Linked DNA regions of Drosophila melanogaster. The protein of the gene in region 4 interacts with the protein of the main gene of each other region in a biochemical or structural test. Each region holds a gene or a part of one and is shown on either strand. Other genes may lie near its edges. The genes, in order: dl, msl-1, Ran-like and tamo.

Region 1 (4,563 bases), on a different chromosome or scaffold from region 4:
TTAAGCCATAAAATGAATTAATAAAATAACGTTCTACTCGTTCAACGATAACTACTTTTGGCGAAAAATAAAAAAAAAAGGTAAGTAAACAAAATAAAATGAACATTTCGTTTCGATCATTTAACATGCTAATTTTATGCAATTTCCAATAGCAAAGACACACAGAAAAAAGTTCTTTTGGCGCCAGCACCACAAATTAAGATTAAGATCAACATCAAAGCATCAGAAGCAGCCAAAAATTCCTCAGTGAAACGGGTTCCGCAAAAAAAAAAAAAACAAGAACTCCAGACAGACAAATGTTTTTTAACGATCGTTGGCGTCAAGCAATTTACAGCTCAAATAAAAATAAATAACCGATATGCTGACAAATCGATGGAACTAGTTGCCAAAAGCTATGTTTTGTATCGTATGAATACAAGTCCATTATCCTTATTTTCCACACCAAACAATGTTTGTTAAATTAGCCGATCAGGGATTATTGTGCACATGTGACTTCCGGCAAAAATGCAGATACATATCTTATCCGTATCTCCAATTATAACGGCCACGATCTTTCTTATCGAGTGGTTTAAATGATATTCGCCTAAAATAGAATCCCTATTGATTGATGATTTGCATAGCGGAGGGCCTTACCCACAGCCAGATCGTGTATCAATCATGACTCGGATTTAGCATACGGGGAAACTACCAGTAGATATAACCAATATTATCTATTGACTTGGCCTTAGATCTCTGTTAGCACACAAATCTCTACTCGAGCTTTGTAAATCGCCGATGACTTGCTGGAAACGAGTTGAGCGATTTTAGCGCTTTGATTTTCTTTGGTCCCGGAGACGAGAGTCTGATGTTATGAGTCAGCACACGGTTTGCATTTAACTTGGTTGCACTTTTCGAGTTTACACCGTATTAGCAGCTAAAAGCATTTCTTCATTCTTCATAATTACCTGCGAATCAAACCAAGAACCAGTGAACACTCATGACGAATTCGGTTTCACTTTTTGCTTTTATTTGGGCCACAAAACGCACACTAACCGCAGTTTGTTCTTTCAAAATGGTACTTTTCAAATTATTACTTAAAAATAATATCGAACCGTTAGGGAATTTTAAAAATATTTAATAAAAATAAAAGAATGTTAGCGCAAACACGACCGCAGGCGCATCGAGTCGATCTTAGAATGAAACAATTGAAAACCTCTCCGGCGTATTTGAGTGGCAGCAAAAAATAAATAAATACAAGGGGCAAAAGCTTTTCCACGAGCCCCACCCCCTCTGGGCCCCACGGCCCCCCTCGCCCACCCACGTGCCCGTAAGAAACTTTCATTTATGGCGACGTCGAAAAGCCACTGCGACTGCGCTGCCATGTACACAGGTGTTTCGGTTGTATTATTTAAGTTTATCGTTTGCATTCACCGTAGATTATTTAATACGCAGGTGGATAATTGCCACCCAAAAAACACAACAACAACAACTGCGGTTACACTACAAAGGATTGAATACGTTCTAATAGTTTTTTTTTAACATCTTAACTATTATTTGTCATGCAGAAATTGTGAGCTATTACAAATCTTAGCATCCAGGAATTTTAAACATTGTCAAAATGTTAAAACTATTTAGGATGAAAAATATTAATATGCGAGAAAAGTGACCAGTCTTGGTTTATCAAACCTTAAAAGTGTGAATAATGGTTGATAAATCACGATGTTGTTGCTGTAAACATTGTTCCGAAACGATAAGGCGTCCAATGACTCAATAAGGTTATATTTTTAATATGTTTAATGCAAGATGCGTTTCTTTGTAATGACATTTTGCGTCTTTGGAAGCAATAGTTGTGTACATATTTATTAAAATATCAAGACCCTTCTCGCAAAACGCAGCCATTAGGATTTTCCACCGCACTTTATTAATCCGTGCAATCAATGTTCAGAATCAATAAATTAAGCTAGGCTCTATAGGGGGACTCACCTAAGTCAAGGAGTGATCTGAAATCTCGCTTATATGCATTGATATCACTGGGTTTGCTAAGTAAATCGGACACCTGAAATTCAACGCGAACCAATTAGTACACTTTTATGTACATTATTTGTTAAGTTTCTTATTGTGTTAATTGGAAAATTAGTCCGTTGCACAGCGAGCTAAATAAGCCATTTATTTATAGTTGAGAAATATGGCGCTTTTTTCATGTTAATGTTAACACATACACAAGCACGCACGGCAGGAACCGGTTTATTTATTATTTTTTATATATAAATAATTTATTCTTCCCTCCCTTTCTCACTCACTCTCTCTCTCTCTCTCTTTCTGATTCTTCTTATTTTATTCTTTTTTAACTTTTGCGCGCGCACAAAGCGGGTGCGATAATATCGATAATAACGACAAAAACAACGGATGGGGGAGAACAGTTCGAACAGAAACTAATGAAAAGTTAAGAAATCGAAGTCCGAAGAAAGAGAGAGTGGGCAAAGAGCGCGAGAGAGCGCGTGACGTCGATTTTTTCTAGGGAATTCCGGGCTTTATGCTTATGCGATCATCGACGTACGACTACCTTTTGTTTTTGTTTTTCGATTTATTCGATTTATAATTTAGGGTAATTTGTTATCGCGCTCTGCCCTCCATTTTCTTTGGTTATTCTTGCGATGTTTGTGGTTAAAGTGTCGATGTGCCGTGTAATCTAATCGGTAAACGTTCAGTTTTAATAGAAATTATCAATACGTGCGCCGAGTTTTTTATTTTTGTTTTTTCCTCCGTTATATTGGTGGGTCTCTTTTTTTTGTCACTCGTAATACGAAAAAGCAAGTGAAACTTGCTTAGAGCTCAATTGAATTTATGCGTTTTTATGCAGCTCTTTTACTTTTCGTTTTATTTTTATCTACTGGTATTTCAACCTGCCTTCGAGCTCCAGAAGAGCGAAAGAGAGCGGAAGCTTAAAGCACAGCGAAAAAGGTAAATAAGGCACAATTTGGAGGTGGAGATAAAATACCCGTAACACACGCACTACCAACCGATCTCGACGCCCGCGATTTGAACACTAACTGCCCACCAAGAAGAAACAGGCGAGCCAAACTTTCAATACCGTATGCGCCACTGAAAAATACCGCAAAACTTGCAGATCGCGAAGCTTTCAACGGAGTTAAGTAGTCGGCCCCAAGCTCTGCTCTTTGCAGTCTCGACTTAAGCTCAGAAGAGAGACAATCCGAAGAGCCTAGCTTGGCGAAGAGTGCGAGATCAGCATGTGCTGAGTCACGTACGATTGAAGTTTTCCACTTGCGACTTATAGCTTACAGATGTCCACATCTTCCACAAATCCGAGTTTCGAGGAATACGCGATGATTGCATAAAGGCGAAACAATATATACATACATATAATATAAATGTTTTTATCTGACTGATACCGATTAGTAGGAATGCAGGCCAGTTGTTTCTTTCAAAAGCTTTTAAAATGTGTCACCTTTTAAATCTATAACACGTATTATATTGAAGGAATACCTAATTAATTGAAAATGCATATCTTTTTATTAGGAGCATCCCAAAGGAATCGGAAAATATAAATATTTTGTTTTTCTTAAATATTGAGAATTCAACTGTATGGTAACCAATCATCAAGAATTCGATTTTCAATGTGAGATTCGTTTAAATAGCCGAATATTCCAACTATATATGCATATTTACGAAAAGTAAAATATAAATGGAAAAAATAACTTCCGTCATTTATCTCAGTGTCTTTCACATGTGACTCATCTCCACGAGCGACTGCCTCCGAAAAGCTTTTTCAGCTTTTATGAATGAAACAGCACGGTGAGCACTAACTATCTGTGTGTGTGGCTGCGAGCTATCCATTTAAGACCCCACTCCCACCCATGCGGTTGGGGGGTCTGAATCAGCGTACGATTCCTGGAAAAAGGATAATATCCTGCGCCGGCATTTGTTGTGGCATTAATTTCCACTGCGGCAGAGTCTCAATGCCGTGACTCACTTGCTTCGTGCTCAGCATTCCGGAGCAGCTTTCACTTTCCGGGCGGAGGACCTCTGACATTCAAGACGGCTTGTTACGCGGAATTTGATAATATTGCTGATTCACCTTCTGGGGAAATGGGGGTCAGTACAGTTGATAATTGAATACATCGCTTAAAAAGTGGTCGCACGTTAGATAAGGATTTTTATGTTTTGGGTTTTTCAGCTAATTAAACCAAATTATTAAATATGAACGATGAATAGAAAATATAATTGTCACATTATTTGGAAAACGAAATATTATCAGTTTGAAATACATGCGAAAGAACCAGGTAGTATTTTTATAATTTCATGACAAAATTACAAATAAGTACTAAATGTTCCTATTTTATTACTGTGAAAAATTTATAAGTAAATAAGAATAAAAATAATATTAATTAAAGTTGGATGGTCGGTGACACAAAATCCACATGCTTAAGTTCTTCCCAATACTACGTACATATGCATAAAAAAGGACTTTCCGCCATTATCGTAAATCGTTATCAAAACCACACTGGCACGAAGGTCATGCCACCTGGTAAACATACATACATACATAAGTGCACGTGAGCTAAG
Region 2 (7,309 bases), on a different chromosome or scaffold from region 4:
CGCGAGAGCTTTGACGATATTGATGAGCTGTGGGCAAGCACTGGACACCAGTACTTGACGCAGAGCAATAAATAATATAAAATTCCGTTAGGCTTTTCCGTTTTTTAAAGGTATTTTAACTGATTTTCAATCCAGCTATTCTGGTTGTTGAAGATTTTGTATGTTATGTTTTCCATTAGGTAACGAGGGTCAGATAAAATTGTCACAGCCAATATATAGAGTATAATGAAGCATTTTCTAAGATATTAAATACATTTGCAATTAGCCCCTAAACAAGTTTATATCGAGATGATCGCAAACAAAAAGACATCTAAGGAAACCAGAAGCAAGCGATGCCAGGTCATTGGAAAATCAATTGAGGCCTGTTAAATAAACCCATTGTCAATTATTAGAATTTCATTTACATATCACCTGTGCAAAATAAGTTGCAAGTCCAAGTATTGATTGCATTTCGTTGCTTTACAATTTACTTTATCCTGTATATTATTATCGTTATCTTTACAATAAAACTTGTTAAACAAATACAAATACATTGTATGTAGTACATTTATTCTTACAGTAGGTGAGTTTGTTTAGGGCTCTACAATGGTGGCAATTAATTTCGAATTGATTTTTAGTTGAAGCTTCAGTAAATTGAACTATTTAACGCTAATTACATTGAATGGTGTAAAATGGTGTTGAACGAAGTTCATCCACCCTCCGCTCCTCCTTTTCCTGGACAATGTACATCGTATCGTATTTACTTTGTTACATTATAATTATCTCTATGCGTTTGGGTACAGTGCCTACTTAACGCTATATTACAAGTAACCGACTTTACACCTATCGAAATGTACAAAAATAAGACGCCACTCGAAAGCGAGCTGGTGATTTGATTTCTCCGGACGTTGGCAGGCTCCATATCATTGCGACAGAAAGTCAAACAGAAGAAGTGTTAAACGAAACAATATTTAGCCAAAAATACATGGTGCCCATAAGGCCAAACGGGTGTGCAGTTCGGGAATCAGTTTTATATTTATTCTTCAAATCTAGTTTTCATCTTAACGGCCTTTCTTGTTCGATACAACATAAAACAAGTTTAATGAAGTTAATAAAATAAAACAATAGATCCAATGTATAATTTGATTACTCGAAGCAGACAACCACTCGCACTCAATTTTTACACAATCAAATCCTAAAAAAAAAGACAAATTATCAGAGATATACCTGAGTAACTCTTTGCAACACACACGTTGTCTGCATTCGAGAATCGACAGATATAACAGTATAAACAAAGACAAAAAAAATGGTTATAAGGGCTAAAGAAAAAAAATATTTAAAAATATAAGTCTACGAATTTCATTGTTTTTCTCCAAAAAAATGCCCAATATAACTTATGTGAATATCTTTCGTGTTCTTATCACTTTAGTGCGGGCGATTTTAAAGGTGATAAAGCTGAGATGAGTTAACCAATCTAACTAAGCGACTGGTTTGAATTACATGCTGTGTGGGACTAAGTAATTTACGTACATTGGAAACAAGCAAGGGTGAAACTCTTTTCAATTGCAAGACGTTAACTAAAAACTAATCATTTCCAGACCAGGCGACGAACATTTGGATTCATTTACATCTAATATAAGATCGAATTATTTATATTTCAAGGAAATAAATATGATAACAATTTAATAGAAAAATGTTTGAATAGGACAGCTCAATTTACTTGCCTTTTAAGATCTCTCATCGCATAAGAAACGACAAAACTTTGACATAAATTTATAGATTCTATAACAAAGAATTTCTAATGTTCCAGAATTCAGCGTTCCGTTCATTTTATTACACAAATAAAAACGGACAGTTGAGGAACCATATATACAATAAACATCGTCTGCTCTGGATTATTTGACTTCTAGACGATCTGTGGTAATCGTTACTGTTAACTCTGGTGCTTTCACGTTAAGCTTAAGAAATAATTCATGATTTAAAACTGAAAATCATTAGTATGTCAAACGCAACGACTTCCCCCAACCGACAGTCTTCTGCTTAGCTCCAGTATCAGATCCCCCAGGCGTTTCCTGGCTAACGATTCTTCTGGCGCTTGCGTCGCTTGGGAAACACGTAGGAGGAGTGATTTTCTTGATGCCTCGCCTCGGCAGCAGTGGTGGGTATTTTTTTGCTAGCCAACGTTGCCACCGGCTCAGCCAGTGCCTTGGACCTGGCTATGGAGGTTGGCGCTTCGATTGCATCCACCCAAGGCACACCGAAATCATCCCGCGCCTCCATGTTGACCACGTTTTCGCCGAATGCCTGAACTGTCACCTCGTTGACGAATTGGATGGCCTCTATGTCCTCGGGCAGCGGGTAGAAAGTGGAGGCGCGCAGAGGATCCAGCGCAACCAACACCTCGTCTTGGTTCCGTCGCATCCGAAGCTGTTCAAGCCGTATCTGCTCCTTCATATAACGTGCATCCCTACACTTTCGATCGACCTCATCCTTCACATATTTCTGGTGCCGGCGCTCGAAGGTCGCATCGCTCAGTAATTCTGTGTCAATTTTATCCGAACTGGGTGGCACTGGGACATCCCGCCACTTGGGTATCTCCAGACTAGGGTTATCCGCCAGCAGCTCGTCGGCCTCCTCCAGGAAGAACTCGTTGTCACAGTGGAACTCCTGATCCTCCCACGTTCTCGTGCTGTACGGAAACGTGGCAGTGCGGAATCTGGACTGCAGTTTTCCCGATCTCGCCGTTGCCTTGCTGTACGTGTGGGGTGAACAGTTGTTTAGCGTTTTTCGGATAGTCGAAGTGGTGCTGCTAACACTGCTATTAGATTGAGGTGTCAGAGGAGTTGCTATTTGTTCAGCTGCCTTGGATTTCGATTTTGCTGCAGATATTTCCTGGTCCATTGAGGATGTAACCGCATGCTGTGGCGTTGAGCCAGGCGTTGGTGTCGTTGACGGCGTAGGCGCTGGGGTTATTGTTGTTGAGGATACTGGTGCACTGGGTGGTGGATATATTAGATTTGTGGCGACTCTCTCTCTTATTTTCTTGAGCGTAACCTGTGACGAATGACTCTGGCTTAGGAGCTCCTTTTTTAAATGTTCCGCCAGTTTTCTTCTAACTGTTTCCACATCTATTTCTTGATCTGGGCTCTGAGACGTTTCCGACGTGGTCTTTTTATCATTGACCAACATACTTTTACTTTTAATGGTTTTCGTCTCGGGCGTCGAAACTGGATCAACGTTCTTTTGTTTCCGAATATCAGACGGGGCGGAGGAGCCGGTTCTCATGTCAGGATGCATTTCATACTGCCTGATCTTAACCTGCAAACGCTGCGTTTTTACAGGATCCGTTTGCGTCTTGGTGGACTGATGGTTGGCTATTACTTTTTGAGCGGGAGCGTCTTTTATGTCAGCGGTGTTTGCCTTGGGCAACGTGCTTTCTCGAGAGGATGTTTTCGTAACCTTTGGGGCTACCGCTTTCGGAAGGTGCTTAGGTGCATCCTCTGGTTGCCTTTTCAGAGTTTCCTTCTGTACCTTACGAACATCCTCTTGTGGTTCCACGCGAACATCCAGCTGCCCATCCTGCCTCTGTTCGTCTTTGGGCTGGTCCTTCGGTTTTAAGTCCGGCTTGGGAACTTCCAACTGATTCTTTATTGCATTATGATCAACGATGGCATCTTCCTGATGCGGCTGCTGCTTGGGTACTTCTGGGGACTCGGGGACTGATTCATGTTCCTTATCCTTTTTCTTAAAAGCCACCCACTTCGGGAGAATCGGCGCTTCTAATGCATCTACCATTGGCTCAGGCTTTAGTTGCAACAACTTTTCAGTTATCCGATTCTGATTTCCTTCTTTCCTTATCTCTGCCTGTGTCGAAGACTTCTGCTGGTGATTGGGAGTTGAATGGGCCGAAGGCGCACAGGTCTTCTCCTCCGTCGGGTCCAATTCCAAAAGGTAATTCTGAAAGAGTAAAGGATTGCTCGATATATTCTTTTAATTAAATAATAACATTAAACATACCTGATTCTGCCAGAGCTCTTCCTCAGTTCTGGCGTTTACATCCGCATCGCTATGCATCCACGGATAATCATCCTCTTCACTGTCATCGTCTTTATCACTATTCTCGTCATCTTCGTCGTCCTCGTCATCATCCTCCTCGATATGGCCGTTGGCATCCACGGACTGTCCATGCTCCTCCATATCAACCAGCTCTTCGGTGACCACTTCCATTTCAATTGATTCCAAAGCATCATGAAAGATATCGCCTCCAACGACTTCCTCGGTGTGCACTTCTTGCATATGCAGATGATCTTCCTCAGCGACCAGTTGGTCCTCTTCCTGAGATATTTGCTCCTTATGTGCCTCCATCTCGTGCTCCTCTGCTACTTCCGTTTGCTCGTGGATGTGGTGCTCGAAGTCCTGATTCATGCGCTGGAGAATAAACGTGCTCACCTTTTTACCGTTGAATTCACCGCGGCCTTTGCTCTCCGAGCGTTTGCTGGCTGGCTGATTCGTTACCGCTCCAGCGTGATGGTCCAGAGCGGGAGACTCCTTCATGTTGATACCCCTGGGAAGTGCATTCGCGAATTGAGGCTGCGCATCTATCGTTTGTGTGCCCTGTTCCCGCTCCCGAAACACAGTTTGCGTCTCAGCATGACAACGTATCAACTTCTGCTGCGGGGCAGCAGGTGGCAGTGGGGGATCATCGTCGTCGTCGTCATTGTCGTTCCTTCGCTGGTTCTTTCGCCGCAGCTGTTTGCATAGTTCCTGGTTGGCGGCCTCCAACTGAGCAACGGCCTGCTTTAATTCCTCATTCTGCGCCTTCACCACGCTCATCTTAGCGCTTTGGTCGTCCAGCTCCTTGTCCTTGGCCGCTATGCTGTCCGTCTGCTCCTGCATCAGGTTTAAGTTCAACATAACCATGCGCCTCAGGTTGTTGTTCTCCGAGATGAGCTTGACCATATCGGCGCCGGCACACACGGTTCCGCCGGAGGAAGGAGGAGCCATGGCTCCGCCACCATGCTCAGCTGGCAGCGAATGCAAAAGCTTTCGGTAGTTGTTATTACCCCCGCCATGTCCTCCACGACCATTGCCATATTGCTGGCGCTCATAGATCTTCCCGGGATGCTGATGAAGATGCTGCGTCTGATTGGGATGGCCGTGCAGATTCCTTTGGCGGCCACGCGACGGTATGTGGGGATAGGGCGATTCCAAGTAGTTGGCCCGCTTTTTGGGCGGCCACTTGAATCGCTTGTCCATGGCAGTCGAATTGAATCCCGTGCCGTCGGTCCTACGATCTCATAATTCTCCAAATGTTTTTGTTTTGTTTTGGTTTTGTTTGCGTCGCTTGGGGTGCACACAATCTCTTCAGCTGATACGCCGTACAATGCGTAGAATCCCGATTACAATTTCGCACCACACTAAATTTTCCTTGCTCGCCCTCGCAAAAGAACCGCTCTTTTCTTGGCCAGAATCTAATGGATTTATCGTTTTAAACGTGGCGTTCTTATCGCACGTGGTGACCGCATTTAGGCAGCAGTTTTTCGGTTCGTTTTTGAACGTTCTTTCACCGCTTTTTCCACAATTGTCCTCACAATGTAAAGTCGCCCCGAAAATGCTCTTAAAAGTATGGCGTTTTGCTGGCGTTGCCACTTTTCGCCAAAGCGCAGAGTTGATTGGGGGCATAGAGATGGCAATTTGCTGCGATGCACGAGCTGAGCACGACAGTCACGAAGTGAAAATATTTTCACGAAACTGTACTTTGTTGCACATAATAGCTAATAGCTAAGTTAACACGAGCCGACGAACTAGTACAGTTGGCTTAGTGTATGAAACATAATATCAAAGTGCTGAGACAGCATTGGGCCGGAGTCTTTGTTAGCTTTAAGAATCATTTTAAGTTTCAGCTTAAATTTGCAGTTACCAGAATAAAGAGCGGCAGCTCGTCAACTCCGACTAAATGTCGTTAAACACATTTTTATTTCTTACTCTGCCAGACCACAAGGATAGCAGTTAAAAGAGGACAGTTTCTCTCAACGTAAATAATAATCTTCCGTTGCTCCCCGGATAATTATTTTCAATTTTTATGTGGTATGAGTAATTGGAATGAGAAAATAGATGAAAAAGAAACTAGCTAGCTAATAATGTATTGATTTTATTTTATTTTTTTTGGTAATTTTATTACATTACCAACTCCTTTTAAATATTTCACTAAATTTAAATAACTACAATCTTTGGATGAATTATCCTTCCTTGTATAATGGTATAAATATAATAGAATAACAAAAACTCGTGACGCCAATGTGTCGCTTAGTGATAAAAAAAACGTGTCACGCTGCCATCTCTTATGTCTGCTGCCACCAATGCAAAAGCCGGGTTGGCTGTACAAATTACCTTTAGTGCCACCCACTAATGAAAATATGTCTAAGCAAATCAAAATAGCCTTTGGGAAAGACCAAATAGTTATGTAATCGGAAAATTAAAAGAACAAAGAGCTGTTCAGTTGGCAGCCCCCTGTGACTTATGCAAGCGTCGCCTGTGAATGGTAGATAGAGAAGAAGAACAAAAATTGGCGCCAAAATTTTGTTAGATTGTTTATTTGGTATTTAAGTTTCGGCCACTAGTTCTATGGCATCCCTGTTCGGAGATGATGGTGTGGATGACCTATTCAATGACAACATTCCGACTGACCCGGATCAGCTGCCCAGCGATGGCGAAGGCGAAAAGCTGTTTGCGGACGACGAGGACAACGGCGTAGAACCTGGTAGCCAGGATGCCCAGATAGTGGAGCCTAAGAAGCGAGCTGTGAGAAATCCCCGACCGCGACTCACTGTGGAAACACTTCGAGGTCCTCGTGGCATCCAGACCATCGAAGATTATTTTAAGGACATCAAATTCAAGGGCAAGGGTTACGAGAAAACCGATCTCGACGAGGTGCTTCGCCGCCTGCAGCACTGGGGCCATCGTATGTATCCCACCTACACCTTTGACGATGTGCTTAACAATATCGAACGGCTGGGCAAGAAGAAACCCCTCCAAGTGCACATGGCGCGATATCGACTCGGTCAGCTGGAGCAGATGCGCGCCCACGAAGCGGAGGCCCTGGAGGAGGCGCAGGATGAGCAACAGGAAGGTGCCGGCGATGAACCCTTTGATGAGTTCGACGCCCTGCTAGGTGAACAGATTGCCATGTCCAGGCTGGCGCCTCCCAGCCCGCAGCAGTGGAAAATGTCTACTGCTTCCAGTAACAGCACGCTGGCTACTCCGTCATTCTCCCGCGGCAATGCTGTAATGTCCACGCCGTACTCCGGTGTAAATGCGACCTTCGACAGAA
Region 3 (3,105 bases), on a different chromosome or scaffold from region 4:
CTCCCGCTTTCTCGCTCTGGCAGCACATTACGCATACGCCGTGTGTTAAATGCGCTTAAAAGTCAGGCCAATAAGTTGTTGTTGTTGCTGCTGCCACTGCTGCTGCGCCTGCTGTTGTTGCTGCTCTTGTTGCCGGTAAATTGTAGTTGCTGCCACTGCTGCTGTTTGTGTAATGAAAACTTTTACAACGCCATATGCAGGCTATTAAAAAACAGCTCGCACACACAGAAGCACAAGGATGGGTCCGCCAGCGCCTTGGAATATGCAATCAAGCTCATTTATACTCATTAAGCGCTTATGTGCACTGGTATGGGTAATGTAGATGGCTACGAAGCGAGCGTGGACTCCCCGGGCTTAAAATGAATCCCCACTGAAGGAGCGGTTTATTTGGAGCCCCCGAAATTGGCCAGGATCCTTCAATTTGCAGCAGAACAATGCGCAGAACTTAATGAAATCGAATCGATTTTTCTGCATTTTTTAACATATGGGTCAAAAACTTATGAAGCCGTTTAAATTATAAAAGTTTATTTAAATTTAAATGTAGTATCTATTACATCTATCTATATATTTAAATAACAGATATAGTGGGATACATTAGTCTTTTAGAAATATAAATCCGAGCCTGCAATTTTACACCATTGAATTTTTGAAATTTACGTCCATTACAAAAAAAAAATTAGAATCTTCGAAAACAATCGGAATTTAGAAATTTAGAAATTTAAAAATTATTAAGTACTTCAGCTGAATGTCTTCATCCATGGGCACAAAGTAAGCAAAGATCATCGTTGCACTTGCAGAATATGAAAATTTTGAAAGAACACTAATCATGATCATGATATTGATCTTTACAGATCAATATCGTAAATAGTGGGCAGAGGTTTGGATTTGGCCTCATTGAATAAGCTTTCCACTTGACGGCTCATCTCGTCGGTAAAAACAACTTTTGGGGGCTGTATAGCGGGGCTCTGGACTAACTGCAGGCTGGGATCACCCACCAATTTTCGCAATAGATAGACGAATGGCTTCTCCACGTTATAGTTCGACTTTGCGGACATTTCAATGAGGTAAATGTTTGTCTTGCGATCAAAGTCAACACCCTTTTTCCAAGTCTTTTTATGCATGATATCCACCTTGTTGCCACAAATGACAATCGGTATGTTGCCGCATACTCTCACCAAGTCGCGGTGCCATCTTTTCACATTATTATATGTATTTGACGAGGCCACATCGAACATTATTATGGCACATTGTGATTGGACGAAGTACCCATCGCGCAGGCCACCGTACCTCTCCTGACCGGCAGTGTCCCAAACATCGATGCGGAAAACTCCTCTGTTGGTGTTAAACAGTAATTGCTCGACCTCCACACCCAAGGTCGCATTGTATTGCATCTTGAACTCGCCGGTCAGATGTCGCTTGACCAATGTGGTTTTCCCAGTTCCCCCGTCTCCGATTAGAATCAGCTTGAAAATGGCCTTCACTTCCTCTTGAGGTTGCATGATCGACAAAACTTAATATTTTTGTTTTATTAATTTGTATTGAACCTATCCTGCCAGCGGTTTGTGTAATATTGAAAGTTTTTGAGACGAAACACATACTTATATATCCGAACCTACTTTGTGCAGAAAAAATGTCAAGGAAAAAGTTGCGATGATCTGTTTCACGAGGAAAATATGTTTGAAATCTTTCGGTACTTAAAGACTCTTAAAAATGTATTGCATGTATGTATACATTTTATATTTTTTTTATTAAAATTAATCAGTTAATTTTTATAAATGTTTAATATCCACTCGTCGGTTTAACATGAGTTTTAGCCATCTGCAGACTTTTCGACCAGTAAAATAACAGTACGCAAAACTAAGTTCAGGGTTTAATTAGTTACTAACCTGGCTGTATCGCTTCATATATAACTATATGCTGATTACTTAGCCAGGATGGCAGTTAATCCGTATATGAATGTACAGCCTCTTCCTCTACCAACAAGGCAACTAAGTAATTAACAAATTAAAATATGGGAGTGAGTTTGTGCACAAGGAACAGGGATACATACAGTGTTCGGAGAACTGAAAGCATTGCAAGATGCTGCAGGATTTAAAGGACAAAACTATAAAACAATTTTAGTGGCAGTTCAGGGAAGTCGGGGAAATTATGAAAAGCTTGAATGTAATCTAAAATGCCAGATGCAGAACTACAAATATAAAAAAAACCCATTTATGATGGTTTGTTTTGAATAAATATGATATGATATATATTATACATATTATTGGAATAAGAGCGGTTATATTTAGAGTAAATTAGCTTTACTTTAAGATTTTGATCAAATCACTCTTTATATGCCTGCATATTAATTTTTGGCTTTTGTTGATTTTCGGGATTCTTTAACAATAAAACGGTATTGTAATTTAAGATGCAAAAATAAAATAGTTTAAATAGCAACAATGGGAAAAGCTTAATGTTACAAAACAGAATTTCAATACGCTTTCAAATAACAGAAAACAGCGAGCTATGTAGATCGATTATAGATATATAAACCATATAACATTTTATTTTGGTGCTAGAATGAAAAACAGCAGTTAAAATACGATGTGAACAATTACTATAGTATAATTCATTTTTATTTAACTTCTATTGGAGAAATGCTTCCTAATTCGTAATGAAATCCAAGTAATATTTGCAAATTGATCAACTACACCCTCTTAAACTATACCCATTATTTGATTCCACTTGGCATCATACAACAACCCATTTTCGGTACACAGTTCGTGTTGGGCAAAAGCTGTCGCATCAAATGAGAATCATAAATAATTTCATTTTCAACTTCAATCCAACCCCAAAAACCCCTTCGACCAAAGATTTTGGCTTTTAAAATTGACACACACACCCCGCCCGAAATCCTTAAACCTGTAATTTACGAGAGGCAACTGTTACACGCACAATTTTATATGTACATATGTATGTATATATATATATATATTTACAATCGCAAACAAAAGGAAATTGCATTCAACAATAGTTACAATTGCTAGGGGGCCGAGAATGCCATAAATCATACGCCCAGTTGTACACGAAGGCATTTGCTGGGGCGTTAATTGTAAATAAATAACA
Region 4 (7,712 bases):
CGCCCTTAACAATGGGAAACAATCTAAAACTAATTAAAGCGTGTGTTTACGAGTAGGGGTAACTAATTAGAATACTTCGTATGTACAGACTGCAGACCCATCCCGTCTGCAGCGCCATCCGCTCATCCAAGGAGCCGAATGCGGATGACAAAGGGCTGCCTGCCATCGAACGACGACTTCGATCGAGACTAGATCTTAGAGACACGCGCACAGGCTTACATTGGTCGTATAAAAAATATATGAAGCTATACACTGTTTGTATCACTAACGAGGGTTCCGTTGCATCCACTGCATCCTACACGCAGGTCGAGGATGCGTGCGACACACTGGCCGCTGACGCCGCAGCTGCAGCCGCCGAGGAGGAAGCCGCCGATGCGGCCTCCAGGTTGAAGTCCTTGCTGCGGCAGCACATCTCGCAGATGCGCTTCGTGTCCGGATTGAGGAACGTGCAGAAGCTGCAGCTCCACTCGTTCGGACTGGTCACAATCAGCTGGGGAGACACATTCGGCGGCTGCTTGGGCACAGCTCCTGTGCGTTGCCTTGACCCGGTTCCCCGATTGTCCACGACGGCCGTCTTCAAGGCGGACTTGACCTTCTTAACGCCGGCACTGCTGCTATTGGGCAGAGGACTGGGTGCAGGAGCTTGCACCACCTTAGCCTCGCGTCGCCCCGTACCGGATTTTTTATCTAGCGTTCGCGCCTTCTCTCCGTTTGTGGGATTCGTGGCCTCACGGCGCTTCTCCGCCGGAGGAGCTGCACCGCCGTTCGTTATGGACAGCGAGCCTAGGTCCAAGCTCTGCACCAGCAAGTCCTCGCGGTCACCCAGGTCCTTTGTGTAGCCCGATCGCTCGAGGTTCTTGAATACATAGTTCCAGGACTCGAAACTGCCGACACCCTCCTGCACTTTGGGCATGAGAGGCGGCGAGCTACTACTGTCCAGGGCCACAAATCCGTCCAGACTAGCCGAGTCGTAACTGTTCAAGTCCGAAATGGTGGTGGGTATATCACGTTCAGTGCCGGACCTCTTGGCCGGTGCAGTCCGACTATTCCGCTCCTTCAATTCCTTGTGCATCTTGCGATTATTGTCCATGGTGCTCTGTTAAAAGGAGTAGGCAACGATATGTAACCATTATATAAGTATGATGATGTTGTTAGAACTTACTTGCTTTTCCGCTGATCGCGGATGTTTGTCAGTCGAATTAATGCCACCCGCCTCGGCCAAAGCCCGCATACGGCTGCTCTTCGGAACCGGCCGCGCATAGATGTACATATCCTGGCCGGTCGGCGGCGGCGCTTGCGGTAGCGTGGTGGGCAGGTCGTAGCCCCCGTAGGTGGCATACATGGCTACCGGATTCCCCCGCATGCTAGGCTGCACCTGACCTCTCAGCTCGGCATACTGCGGATCGTAGTCATGCGTCCCAAAGTCATGCTGGGTCAGATGCGCTCGCTCGTCAAAGTCGATGAGGTGGTGATCCGGCGGATAGGTGCTCTGACGGTGCTGCATAGCCGCCAAGGCAGCAGCGGCAGCAGCAGAAGTGTTCGGCTGGCGACGGTGCAAATCGCAGCTGTGGGCTGGGCCCGTCTTTCCCAGCGTGGCGTACATGTTGGTGTGCTGTCCATTGCCATAGAAGTCGGCGGGCGACGCATACGGGGCATTCAGCTGGCTGGAGATGTTGTACGGCAGCGGATAGCGGTTTCCCGGTGCATTGTAGGCTCCAGTCACGGCAGCGTAGGACGCACTGCTGCCCATGCTCAGGCCATCTAAGCAGTCATAGGGCGCCTCGTAGACGTGCGGCAGCTGGCACTGCTGTTGGAGCTGCTGATCGAAGGAGTGACGGTGAGGCAGATGGGCCTGCGGTTCCTGGTAGTGATCCAGGCTGCGAGAATGCGTCATCAGCGGACCAGGCAGGTGCGGTTGCTGCGGCGGAGGCGCTGGGTAAGGCGGCAGATACTTACCCGCCTCGTTCAGCCCATTGGGATGCAGGGCACAAGTGCCGGAACTGCTGGGATGATGGGCAACGTTGTTGCTGCGCATGCCGCAGGCAGTTGGAGCAGCACTCACCACATTGCTATATGTATTCTCCTGCATCGGTGGCTGCTCCATTCGTACCCGTTTCTCACTCAGCTGCCTGACCATCTCCTTGATGGTCGTGGAAGTTCCACCCACGTAACGCTCGCGGAACTGTAGGATGTCCTTCCAAGTGCAGACGTATCCCGCTGCCGTCACTCCCGCGTAGATGTGCTTCATAATCTGGCACTCCACGTAGGCGGCCATTGCGTCGCGCGAAACATTCGTAACCTGATCCGGACAGATGGGACCCTCGAGGACGAAGGTGTCCTCGGCAGCCCGGCGATAGCCCATGGCCAGGAAGAGCTGTTCGGCGTCCAGCAGGCGGGATTGGATGTCGTGCTGAAAGCATCCCGAATAGGTCTGCAGAAAGGAGGATTATTCAGTTAGAAGTGGCTATTTAGTATACGTCATCATCCTATATCCACCTTGAGAGTTCGATACTCCTTTCGCCATGGCTTCGTAAACAGATTGTTGGCATACTGGCTGATGGTCTCGAAGGCTACGATGGCGTTCTGGGCCGAAAAGTCGGGCAGCTCGAGCACAGACCTCCGCAGGACATGCCCAGTTTCCGGCAGAAAGAACTTGCGATCGTGCTGCACCACGCAGAGGAACTCCTTCAGGCAGCCTGTAAGCGCGGATTGATTAGTTCCATTTCCATTTAGGACAAGGACAAGGCGGCGAACTCACCCTCCAGCTGCTTGCGTTCCTCGAGCTTCTCTATGCTCTCCTCCGTCTCGAGAAACATCCAGTGGCGCCGGAGAATCTCATCCCACAGATCGGGGATGAGGTCGTGCGGCACGAAATCCGACATCTCGGGCTAAGGACTCTCATTCAAGGCGCCTCCGGCTCCTGCAAAACAAGAACACAAGGTTACACTACGGCGAACATCTCGAGAGCCCAGAGCGCGCCACCATGGCTATTGATTTTCCACCAGGGGTTGGGTGGGGATGCACTTCTCTGGCATGAATCACCAGAATCACATCCTTCCCCGCATGACGCACGCCGTCGCGGCATGCAGCAAACAAACAAATAAACAACCAACTGGGCTCGAATGGAGTAACAATAACTGGACAGATAAGAGCAAACAATAGGCTCCATTGGGGCCCGTCATCGATAGTGGCATTCCCGAGTCCTTATCAGTTTCCTCCCAGCCAGCGGAGCACCTAAGCAACCAGTACTTGCCCCTCGCGGACAAAAACAGTTGACAACAAAAAGCTCACTTGTGATTACGTCTACTGTGCTCCCCGATGCAGTGGAAGCTGATTCATTGGCTGGGAGAAAAGCTGTTTCAGGGGATTTCGTTTACAATAAATACAAATTTTTTTTTGTTAATAGAAATTACAAAGCTAAAACTATCACCATGACCAAACACTAAGTAGAGTCCATCTATGGGGTTTCAAACCAACTGGAAGCCCTTTATTATGATTGCTAGGTGGAGATCCAGGAAGACTCTGCAGCATACTTTGTTTATTTGCAAAGGCGTATCTAATCTAAGGTTTATTTTTGAAATAAAAGATAGCGAATTGTATAGAAATCAACTAAATGTGGGGCTGCTCGTAGCTTTGCTTCGGTGAGTCATAAGGTCAGAAATGCTAATCATGTACAATTTCCAGGCTTACCTAATATACGCGAAAATAAGTAGAGTAAATAAAGTGAGCGCAATAATGGAGCTCACTTGTTGTGATGATAATAGATAACCGGAAAGCAAGCTCCAGCCCTTTACTATCTATGAGCTTTACCTGGCAAATACTACTCCCAACTGGGTATCATCTGCTCGCTGACCCGAAGGAAAGCCCACAAGTGCTCGATAGGAACCCAGAAGCCTCGCGATTGCATCGCTTGCCCTTATCTCCCCCCTCGCCAGCCGGAGAACCGAGCCACTTGACTGGCTAACTCGATATTGATATCGGCTATCGTGGAGCCAGAGATCGTCCATTGGCCTTTGGCATTCGATACTGAGAACACCGGAGAGGCACTACGCTGAGCAACCTTGGGGAGTGACTCACTTGGCGTTCGGCGCTCCAATCAGAATGCGAATGAGCAGCAAGGCGGGCGTGGATAAACAAGTGTAGTGCAACTGAGCAAACGGCGAAGTGGTGACAAGAGGAGTCGAATAAACGCGGTGTGCGGAGAGAACAACATTGGCAGTGATAAGCGTATAATTATCAAATATATCAAAACAAACTTATGCAAGCCACATAAACTGACTTCCCTTCTCATCCTCTATAATTTATTTACTTATGCAATAATTTCGACGCTACACATACTGACAATTTCCTATTTAGTTGCTTGGGTTCAAGTCGTACATAAGCATATGTACATATGTACGTACATACATACTACTAGTTAACAACAATATTGAAATGGGAATTTAAACAGTCAGTCGAAGGAACGCACTGTCAACCGATTAATGAGCTGAGCATTACATGTATGATGTCCTGTAATAATGAATCAATTGAATATGCATGCAACTGATAGCTTTCCCAGTCCAGTGAATTTTAATTAATGTTTTCCAGCGCCGAAACAGCACACATTGTTGGTGGGAATGGGAATGTGAAGTGGGGGAAATGGGAAAGCGGGCCGAAGAAAGTGGAGCTTTCGTGGGAACCCATAAATTCAGCGGCCAAATGAAGCAAGATGATTGCAGGGCGGATTAAAATCAATAGCCAGCATGCAGGTGGAGCAAGTGGAGTGGGCCGAATGGCAATGAAGTTACTTATTTACTATGAGTACCACAGGCACATTCGCACTCAGGTGGTGATAAATTCATAGCATTTCGGCTGCCCGTCCGTCTGCTAATTGAATTTTCAATATTTATTGCCTGGCCAGGACACATAGCGTACATACCACTACCGAATGCCTGCAGCCGAGTGAAAATGCCCCTCGATGGGCAGAGAATTTATGTGCTGACATTACAATGGACGCAATATGGCAGGGATTTGAGGCGTTTATTGATTCAGGCAGCACTCCAAGTCGAAGTCGGCATCGAAGGCATCGATTGGCCAGGACGAGGATGGGCCATGCAACAGTTTCGGGCCATGTGCCCTGGACAAAGATCCACCGAACCACACACTGGCCGTCAGGGGCGATTATGCATATACATATACATATATATGAGTCTGCCTACCGGCAACCGATGGCAGGGTGCTCCCATTCTTATTTTCAGCAATGCGGCACTAAATTTAGCAAATAAAAGCTCACCCGGCTCGTTCTTTGGCAGCCAGAAAGCGAGCCACTGCCAGGGGCATCGAAGCGGAGATACCCTGTACCGGACACCTAATAGTTCCTACACAAACTTTTCTCTATGTGCACTCCATCAAACATCTGGTGCCTTCTTGTTCACTAGCTCGCAGCAGCGCACGTGATACCCTGTAATTCGAAACCAGGAAGCATCCGCCTTGGACTTACGCAAATTCCCAGTGGTCCGCTGGTGGCTCGGCTCTCATTTTTGCATTTTTCTTCGGAAAAGTCCGCGCGCTGGAAAAGTCAACACAAGTTCACCTCTCCAAATTCGTGCGTGGGTGTGGGCGGAAGGTGGTGGTAGGTGGATGGTGGGCGGGAGTGGGTGGTTGGCGATTCGAGAGGGGGCGGTGCGTGGGTGGGTTTATTTTTAGCGCTGCTGCGACGGAAACGCGACAAGTCGGAGATTCTGCTTCCGCAATGTTGTTGTTTTTGCAGCCGTTATTATTAACAAATATTACGCTATCCACGGGCTCTTCTTCTTGCTTGTTTGCGTTGACAAATCTCGTTGCGCTTTCACAATCACATCAAATCGTGGGAAAACTGGTTTTCCCCCCGTTTCTGAGCGGTTCACTCTTCGGTTCGTGATCGTTTGTGTCCGCGGGCAATGGAAAGTCTTTGTTTTTCACACGCGTTTATCACAACAGTAAATAAAATATCACTTTAGCCAGTTTAATCAACTCGGAGAGCAGAACTTTTAACCGTGAGAAATAACCGCATACTGAAGTGGCCAAAATCTGGGAAATCGCCATGGAGGAACTCGCGGAAAATACCAAATCCATGGCATGCAAGCTTTATTATCAGTGGCGTAGAAGAGGGGCCTTATCTGATTAATCCTCGCTCTATAATTTTGAACCGCTTGCCATTTTTAAGGGCTCAGGATAATGAGATTTGTTATTCTTCCAGATTAATGTCATTAAATTAAAATCTTATGTTTCCCCCTTATGTTTATAAGAGTAATCGCAAATATTCAATGAAGAAAAGAATATTTTATTTTATTGAACTGCCGAAATCAACAAATTAAACGAATGTAATTAATTTAAATTTTAAATTATAACACCCAAAAAGTGTGATTCCCCGAAAATATCAGTTATTATACAACGTTATTTCGGAATTTGTAGAGGTATTTTCTGGCGCTCCCGCTGCGGTCACACTGAACACGAGTTTCGTTTCGGAGATTGAAAGAAATGGAGATTGACTTGGGATTTGCGGAAAAGAGCGACAATGGCGCCTGGCTGAGCAACCGCTACTTTCCCAGCAAGCTGGGAGGCCAGCCCGCATGGCTGGAACTGGAGGCCTTGCCGCCCACGTCGCAGCTGCAGTGCAGCAAGTGCAGGGCACCCAAATCCTTCCTGGCTCAGCTATACGCTCCCTTCGAAGACGAGTACAACTTTCATCGGTCCATCTATGTGTTCCTGTGCCGGAATTCCGACTGCCAGGAGGCCCAAAATGCAAGGTAATCCCTTCTAGCTCTGAAAACCAACTTGCAACCTAATCTTACCCATCTTTCCAGCAATTTCACAGTCCTCAGGTCACAGTTGCCGCGAAAAAATAAGTTCTTTTCGGAGGAGGAGCCGAGCGACGTGGGTCAACCCCTGGTAGGAACAGCAGCCATATTTTCAGAACATACTCATCATAATATGTTTTCTTAGCCCGCCGTTCCCTGCCTAAAGAAACTATGCGCCGCCTGCGGTTGCCATGCTCCTCACGCCTGCAGCAAATGCAAGGCAATCCACTACTGCTCACCAGAGCATCAAAGGGCCCACTGGCCACAACACAAGCCAAACTGCGGAGCACCAGAAGTAGCCACTGAGAAGCCCTTAACACAAATCGTTTTCCCAGAATTTGAGATTGTAATGGACAGCAACCCCGTGGAGTCTGGCGAGGAGGACAAGGACGATGAGGCTCGCTTGGCGGAGTTCCAGGAGCTGGAGTCCAGCGGGAAGACGGGCGACTTGAGCAATGTTTCCGAGGCGGAGATGGACAAGTACTTCGGAAACTCGGCGGCCGCCGATGACAAGACCTTTCGTCAGTTCAAAAAGCAAACAGCAGCCGAACCCGATCAGATCGTGCGCTACAAACGTGGAGGCCAGCCCCTCTGGATCACGAATACCGTCAAAACGGTGGAGGACCAACTTAACAAGCTGCCCAATTGCATTGCTTGCGGAGGAGAGCGTCAGTTCGAATTTCAGATTATGCCGCAAGCGCTGACTCTTCTGGAGGACGAAAACCTCGACTGGGGCGTCCTGGCCGTCTACACTTGCGCCAAAAGCTGCCCCATCGACGGCTACGTGGAGGAGCTTCTCATCAAGCAGGACATTGTGGCGGAGGATCAGAGTTGACATTAAAATGCGTACATTTAAATTTTATTCTTGTCAATTACGAAACACGTGAACATTTA

The links.
Region 1: the proteins of tamo (region 4) and dl form a complex in vitro, tested with the Drosophila melanogaster proteins (one study listed by BioGRID).
Region 2: the proteins of tamo (region 4) and msl-1 form a complex in vitro, tested with the Drosophila melanogaster proteins (one study listed by BioGRID).
Region 3: the proteins of tamo (region 4) and Ran-like form a complex in vitro, tested with the Drosophila melanogaster proteins (one study listed by BioGRID).

Annotation. Positions count from the first base shown.
Region 1 is NT_033779.5:17,447,334-17,451,896, forward strand, and holds the start of dl (dorsal), read right to left. Parts: upstream 3,032-4,563; 5' UTR 2,543-3,031; intron 2,036-2,542; 5' UTR 1,963-2,035; intron 1,178-1,962; exon of another isoform or gene 945-1,177; intron 1-944. UniProt on the Drosophila melanogaster protein: Embryonic developmental transcription factor. The lateral or ventral identity of a cell depends upon the concentration of this protein in its nucleus during the blastoderm stage.
Region 2 is NT_033779.5:18,683,191-18,690,499, forward strand, and holds msl-1 (male-specific lethal 1), read right to left. Parts: upstream 5,611-7,309; 5' UTR 5,236-5,610; coding exon 3,997-5,235; intron 3,937-3,996; coding exon 2,056-3,936; 3' UTR 530-2,055; downstream 1-529. Other genes in the region: CG31751 (uncharacterized protein), read left to right, coding at 1-75; CG10336 (uncharacterized protein), read left to right, coding at 6,604-7,309. UniProt on the Drosophila melanogaster protein: Component of the male-specific lethal (MSL) histone acetyltransferase complex, a multiprotein complex essential for elevating transcription of the single X chromosome in the male (X chromosome dosage compensation).
Region 3 is NT_037436.4:15,483,860-15,486,964, forward strand, and holds Ran-like (Ran-like), read right to left. Parts: upstream 1,544-3,105; 5' UTR 1,500-1,543; coding exon 846-1,499; 3' UTR 537-845; downstream 1-536.
Region 4 is NT_033778.4:24,127,518-24,135,229, forward strand, and holds the start of tamo (tamo), read right to left. Parts: upstream 6,035-7,712; 5' UTR 5,480-6,034; intron 4,323-5,479; exon of another isoform or gene 4,078-4,322; intron 2,921-4,077; 5' UTR 2,883-2,920; coding exon 2,759-2,882; intron 2,697-2,758; coding exon 2,497-2,696; intron 2,432-2,496; coding exon 1,163-2,431; intron 1,097-1,162; coding exon 296-1,096; 3' UTR 1-295. Other genes in the region: Zfrp8 (zinc finger protein RP-8), read left to right, coding at 6,499-6,767, 6,825-6,909, 6,964-7,653; Naa35 (N(alpha)-acetyltransferase 35), read right to left, coding at 7,710-7,712. UniProt on the Drosophila melanogaster protein: Has an essential role during oogenesis and embryogenesis, perhaps in modulating the levels of nuclear import of additional proteins. Modulates the nuclear import of dorsal (dl), Dif and male specific lethal 1 (msl-1).